Linked DNA regions of Macaca mulatta. The protein of the gene in region 1 purifies or fractionates together with the protein of each later gene. This does not show direct contact. Links are inferred from orthologs where the notes say so. Each region holds a gene or a part of one and is shown on either strand. Other genes may lie near its edges.

Region 1 (3,500 bases):
TGGCTGCAAATGTACAAAAGTACAGAAATCTCAGCAGAATCTCTATAACCTAAAAACCCTTCTCTGCACTGAGTGGTCAACCCTCTCACAGGGCAGATGAGTCTCTGGCCCTGTCAATCTGTTGCTGGGTTTAGGGGAGCCTCGTGGAACCCGGGGTGAGCGAGGGTGCCGCCACCGGGCAGAACTCCCTCAGGCGATGAGTGTCGGGTGCCAACTGCGAGTTACACAACACGAGCTCTCCGGGCAGTAGGGAAACAAGGAAGAAAGCACTTACAGCGTGAGGCAGGCAGGGCTAGAGTCCCCAGGGGGCAGTTAGTAAGACAGTTTGGTTCTGGACAGAACAGACAGAGAAAGAAGAGAAAAGCAAGAAGGTTGGAAAGTGTTTTTTAAACAGGAGAACAATAAAGGTTTCAAGTCAGCAAGCCCGGAGGTAGAGGGCCGTCCCTCTCACTCAGGGACAGCCACCAGGAGAGACTTGCAGGCTCTCAGATCTAGCACATTCACTCCAAGGCAGGTGTGGGGAAGCGGCCGGGCGCTGGGCAGACAGGCCTGCCCTCTGCCATCTGCCCAGAGAGATGGAAACTCCAGGGAGGAGCCACAGACCTCCCTCCAGTTTCTATGCCGAGCCACCCTTTAGCATTTAACATTTCCAACAGCATTCTGGCAAACGGAGGTATGGAAATTGCATGACTGTTATCTAAAACAGAGACCTTTATTCGGCTGCGTTTGTTTTGGTCAAACCACCAAGCTACTGCCACTTACTCTAAAAAGTTCCCCTCATATTTTCCACTTAGGGGAGGGAGGAATAGCATTCCATTTTCAGATTGTTCCTTCTCTTCACACTAGAACTCCTCCTCACGGCTTCTCTCTGCACTGCTGAACTAGTGCCATGGTGTCGTGAGAAAAAGAGGCCTGAGTGGTTTCCGGAAGAGTGCAGTGAGAAAGGGAGATTGCCTGTCACCTGCGTCACTCCTGGGTCTGGATGCCTGAGTGAACATTCAGGGAGAGATTCCGCAGCAGGGCACGGGGTGGGCTTGGAATCAGAAGCAGTCCTGGGGATTTGGGAATGCATACCTAGAACTACTGCATAATTTATGGGGCAATGGGAAGGGGCTGCAGTGGCCCTAATATATTACATCAATTCAGGAATAATCCCACTGGAATCCAGAACAAGCAAAATTCCAACAGAAATGGAAAAAAAAGCCCGTGGCATTGAGATGCTGCCGATGAGTGCTCCGTGCCCGCTCTGAGTCCCTGCAACTGCGCTCCCTTCACGTCATCTCTTTTGGTGGCAAACACACCAAGTGAAGAGAAAATCTAAACGAATACTTTACGGAGGACAAAAGGGGTTGGGCCACTTTGTACTGATAAAACCATTTTCATGCCATGATGCTGGGATCCCATCATGAACCTGTTTTTGCTTGCAGGATTCACTATTAGTAATTCAAAGCATTTTTTGGTTCCTAAAAAACAATTTCTATTTGGTGTGTAATATAAATAGACAACACAGGCACAGCCGGTTAATGCTTTGTGACATAGCCTCAATGTCAACTGAAATCAGAGCCCTCGGGAGCCCTAAGAAGGCAGGGCATTCCCATATAAACAGACCTTTCTGCGGCAGCAGTACTTACCTGAGGACCCCAGAAGGATGGGGTGACAGTAGCCCAAAGGAGACACCATTTGTCACCTGAGAACATTCAACCAGCAGTTTGTCCTCAGAGCATGCAAACAACTTTATCACAAAGACTCAGATCTTGGAACATGTAGACCATGTAGCATCAATATTTATATTAGGTGTGAACCATGCGGAATTGCTATTTCTGTAAGTCACTGGCAGTTCCACAGGTTTGACCTATTCAGATTTGCAGCCTGCATTCTGAGTTAAACATTCACTAGTGGGCCGGACTGGGAAGCCAGCCATCATTTACCCTCTTGTGGGAAACATGGGCCAGGTGAAACAGGCAATACACCTTCTTCCTCTCCCTGCCCATGAAGCCAGGGCTGCTTGGGTCCTGGCGAGAAAGCAGCGGGCAGCCCAGGAGCATGCTGCCGTCCTCCTCCTCTGACCCCTACCATCTGCGGGAGCAGCCTGGCTGGGGGAGTGCCCATGGGGCCAGAGGTTCCCAGCGTGGAGCCTGTTCATCCAGACTCCAGGCGAGTTGGACTCACTCGCCAGACAGACACGTCCTCTCTGTGCTGCACAAACCACAAAGTGGCATCCCCATAGCCGTCACCACCAGCATATCATCAGGCTTTCATTTTGCTCCCTGTTTGTACAAAAACACCACAGGTAGATACGTATCAGAACCCAGTTCACAGTGGATTGATTTGTGAGTAGTATCAAGGGCAATAATGATAATCATATTGTATTAGGGCAGGATTTTGATTTTGCCTATTTGTTTCACTTGGTTTTACTGCTCAGGGGGCTCATGGCCACAAAGAGGGTAAGTGATTTGTGAGCTGCCAGATGGCTGTTTTGTAAGGAAGCCAGCCCAGGAATCGAGATCTTATGGCTCCTGATGAGATGTGCTCGTGCCCACGTTGTCCAGACCCTCTGCAGCTCACCTCATGCTGTCCCATATGAAGGTCTGCAGTATGCAGAAAGCCTGACACAACCATCCCATAGTTTGTACACATACACAAATTCACACAGAAAGAAGGCAAGCTATGACCCCAAATGAAACGCCCTGATAAGCAAGGATCAATCACTTAGACTGGTGACAGAACCCACATCAAATCGTGTACTATATGATTTCCTGAGGACAATAAAAGAACATTTTCTTTAGAAAAGTTCCTCAGGGTTTTTTCTGCCTATTCTATTCTCCCATAAACCCAACACCTCCCCAGCTCCCGACAACCAATCACGGACGATTCCTGAGATCAAATGACAGAGCACAATCCCAAATCCCAACCTGCCCCACAGCTAAAGGGAACAGCTGGCGGGGGAGGGTGTGGGGCACTCGGCGTTCATTACCTCCATGGGCCCTGGCTCGGCTGTGTCCCCCAGCGAGTGGCTGTCACTGTGGAGACCCGGGGGCCCGTAGGCAGCCTGCCTCCTCTCCTCCTTTAAGGCATGCTCCAGCAGCTTCTTGTTGAGGATCCGGGCCACGTTCTCAGTGAGTGTGTAGCCAGGGGGAGCAGATAAGTCCTGCCTCACTGGCGTGCCCTCTCCCCCTTCCTCCCTGCACATCTCTGAGCCCACCCCAATGGGGCTAGGTGACCTTCCTCGGGAATTGGTGCCTGTTTCCTGGCCTGGGGCCAGCTCCGGTGGGGGTTCTGCTGAGCGAGACCGACTGCCGGCCCGCAGCCCCTTCTGGAAGGGGTCCTGCACCACGGGGCTGTGGTCGATGATGTTGAAGAGGCTGGAGAGGCCATCATTGATGGTGGTGTGCACGGGGCTCTCCCTTGTGGTGGTGGAGCGGGCCCAGGCTGACTCACTGTACCCTTTCTGGGCCATCCCTGGTGACGTCCTGTTATTTGGCTGGTCAGCTTTGGGGAGG
Region 2 (3,500 bases), on another chromosome or scaffold:
CCCAGCACTTTGGGAGGCCAAGGCGGGCGGATCACCAGAGGTCGAGAGTCTGAGACCAGCCTGAGCAACATGGAGAAACCCCGTCTCTACTAAAAATACAAAATTAGCCGGGCGTGGTGGCGTGTGACTGTAATCCCAGCTACTCGGGATGCTGAGGTGGGAGAATTGCTTAAACCCAGGAGGCGGAGGTTGCGGTGAGTTGAGATTGCACCATTGCACTGCAGCCTAGGCAACAAGAGCAAAGCTCTGTCTCAAAATAATAAATAAATAAATAATAAAGTTTCATGTAAGTTTTGGGTGGCAGTGAGGGCATTGAAGCAGTTATGACCATGTTGCTACCATGACTTTGAGATGCAGTCTTCTCGCAGTCTGCACAAGCAGCATAGTGGGAAGTGGGGTACCGGCTCTCCCTCCTGAGCCAGACGAGCTGCTGTGTTGCCAGTGGAGGTTCAGGGAGCCAGTGATGGGACAGCTCTGCTCCTGAGCTTTGCCACCCACAGGACCTGGGCACTGGACCTTATGATGTGCTCCTTTGGAGTGAAGACTGGCTGTCATCTCAGCCCCCTCTCCTTTCTTCTCCTGTCCTATGTTTCTTCACATGCCTACCAGCCCCCTGGAGTCTGCCCCTGCACCCTCCTCCCTTACATATTTTGCAGAGAGTGTTTAGAGGACTGGAAGTGTAGCTTGTAATGGTATCTCTGTTTCTACCCTGCAGCCCACCTTGGGACACCTTGACTCCAAGCCCAGCAGTAAGTCCAACATGATTCGGGGCCGCAACTCAGCCACCTCTGCTGATGAGCAGCCCCACATTGGAAACTACCGGCTCCTCAAGACCATTGGCAAGGGTAACTTTGCCAAGGTGAAGTTGGCCCGACACATCCTGACTGGGAAAGAGGTGAGCACTGGGACTGGGGACATGGCAGCACCTCCCAGCCCTGTTGACACTCCAGCAGGTGGTGACGGGACTACTACTGCAGCCAACCTCTTGTTTATCCGGCAGAAATGAGATCTGACATATAGGGGTGCAAAAAGCTGTGGGATGAAAAGGAGTGCGAAATATAAAGGAGGAAGTAGATTGGAATCCTGGATTTTGCCTAGTCAGAGAAGTGATTTGGGGCTTTTTTGTCTCATCCTCAGGTAGCTGTGAAGATCATTGACAAGACTCAACTGAACTCCTCCAGCCTCCAGAAGGTAAGCACATGGCACCTGCTGTCCGTTTGTGTTTTGTTTTGTTTTGTTTTGTTTTGTTTGAGTCAGAGTCTCATTCTTGTCACCCAGGCTGGAGTGCAATGGCGTGATCTCAGCTCACTGCAACCTCCGCCTCTTGTTTTCAAGTGATTCTCCCACTGCAGCCTCCCAAGTAGCTGGGATTACAGGCACCCGCCACCACGCCTGGCTAAGTTTTGTATTTTTAGTAGAGATGGGGTTTCACCATGTTATCCAGGCTGGTCTCAAATTCCTGACCTCAAGTCATCCGCTCGTCTCGGCCTCCCAAAGTGCTAAAATTACAGGTGTGAACCACCGCGCCCAGCCCTCCTGTCCCTTTCTAAATCTCTCTTCTGGGGTCAATGATCTACTCACCCCATTTAGACCTCCTCTTGAATTCCTAGTTTAAATTTTCCGGCCATTTCACTCACCACCCCACATGGCTCTGCTACCTTAGGGGTTTTAGTTGAATCCTCTGTGGTGACTCCTCCTGAGTGGGTTTCCTGGCCACAGGCACTGGCTCTTGTGAAGTCTTTCTGTTCATTCCCAGCCGCTTGGCCTACCTGTCTGACCTACTTCCTGCATCTTGTTATCTTCTGGCTTGCGGCCAGCCCTATGCAAAAACACATGTTTGTAGCCACTACTAGAAACACATGCAGCTACTTCAAGATCTGGAATGATCCAGGGCAGTGGCTTTAGAAATACAAGAATAAGAGGAAACAGGGAACCTGCAGCTGGGTTCTGTGCCAGCTACATTTTAGAGAATGAGCTCCAGCTCAAATTTTCTCAACAAAACCTAGTTCTGTTCATCTTGTGGCAAATCAGATATTTTCTCCGTAAGCATATTGTGGTAGTTGAGTTAGGAGAAGGCATGATTCGTGCTAACATTAGAGTCAGATACAGTGATACTGGGAACCTTAGGAGTAGGGGCTGAGGATTGTTGTTGAGGGCAATGCTCATGGAATTAGAGTGGATGAGTTGTTCCCCTGACGTGCAAATAGCCAGAACCAAGGTGTTTCCTATTTATTGTTACCCCTGGGATCCCTTCAAGGGTTCTTCAGTTCAGTGGAATCATTGCTGTCATCACCAGGGTGTCCTTGCTTGGAGCTTTCCAGGAGGAAGGGAAAAAGGGCTGCTCCTGACATACTGGCTGCAGCCCCACAGAAGAAGTCAGCGTGGGATGGGCCATTTGGCCTTGGGAGCAGTCTAACCTGCCATCGTAATAATCGCCAGTCCACCAAGCCATCTTACTCCCTACCTTGTTTTTCTCCCTAATTCTTCCTGACTCTGTGGAAGGCACCAACACCGGACAAATAGAGCCATTTTCAAAACCTTTTGAGACTCTGTTACTAAAGCCAGTCTGATTCTGGCCAAAAATGTGATCTCAGCAATAATCCCTAAAAAATGAACATCGAAGAAGCTAGCCCCCTCAGGGGTCTAGATGAGCCCAGAAAACCCCAAGTTCTCCCAGAAGAATGCCACTTCCATGCCAGGTGAGCAGCCTTAGGGGAAGAAACCTTGGCAGTTGCCTCTGGCCCCATTTCAGTGCTGCTCCCCATTACCACCCCAGAGGGTGGTAGCGAGGCTTTTTGCCTCTTCTTCCAAAATATCTGTTGGGCCAGGGAAAAAAGTAAGAAAAACCTAGGCTCTTATAAAGGGTAAGGTCAGCATTGGGTTCCTGAAGATTGGAAAGCCTTTTTCTTCTTTTGTGTTCTAGCTCAGGAAAGCTCTGGGGCATCATTAAAGGGGAAACAAATGTATTCACTTTATTCCATAAACCATATCTTGAATTAGGGCTTCCCCTACCCCCCCCCAAACAAAAACAACAACAAAAACTAGTTCTGCTCTTTGTGCAAGTGATGAGGCCTGGAATTACAAAAAGCCCCACCTCCAGTTCTCTGGCCCCCGCAGAGGGGAAAGAGTTCATTTCTGTCATCTGTCTTTATGAAAATACATGGTTTGGAGCCCCTGGTTTTGTTTCACAAAGAGAGCGTGAGTGTGTGGAGGTGGATTTGATTAAAATTGGCATCAGCTATATATAGGAGTGGCTTCTTCTGTCACCACCCTGGAGGCCCAGGAAGGAAAGGCCTATCCCCTGGAACAGAGCCCTCTGACTACTGTAAATCAGAAAATGATGGGGTCCCCCTCTGGTGCTCCACCACCCCTTTACACAGACCAAGCTGGGGTGTGTACTGTCACTGAACCAAGGCAGCAGCTCGGGTTCTGAATATTCACGCACATGGGCTCACACTCCCTCCAACAGAGGCACCCAGCCAAAACCCGCCTGCTGTTTT

The links. The genes of interacting proteins can lie anywhere in the genome.
Region 2: the proteins of MTCL1 (region 1) and MARK2 purify together in Homo sapiens (affinity purification with mass spectrometry; 5 studies listed by BioGRID and IntAct, with this or other methods). This does not show direct contact. The link is inferred for Macaca mulatta from reciprocal best matches to the Homo sapiens genes MTCL1 and MARK2.

What each region holds. Positions count from the first base shown.
Region 1 is NC_133423.1:79,860,082-79,863,581, reverse strand, and holds part of MTCL1 (microtubule cross-linking factor 1), read right to left. Parts: coding exon 2,975-3,500; intron 332-2,974; coding exon of another isoform or gene 293-331; exon of another isoform or gene 275-292; intron 1-274. UniProt on the Homo sapiens protein: Microtubule-associated factor involved in the late phase of epithelial polarization and microtubule dynamics regulation.
Region 2 is NC_133419.1:10,518,610-10,522,109, reverse strand, and holds part of MARK2 (serine/threonine-protein kinase MARK2), read left to right. Parts: intron 1-715; coding exon 716-895; intron 896-1,137; coding exon 1,138-1,191; intron 1,192-3,500. UniProt on the Homo sapiens protein: Serine/threonine-protein kinase. Involved in cell polarity and microtubule dynamics regulation. Phosphorylates CRTC2/TORC2, DCX, HDAC7, KIF13B, MAP2, MAP4 and RAB11FIP2. Phosphorylates the microtubule-associated protein MAPT/TAU.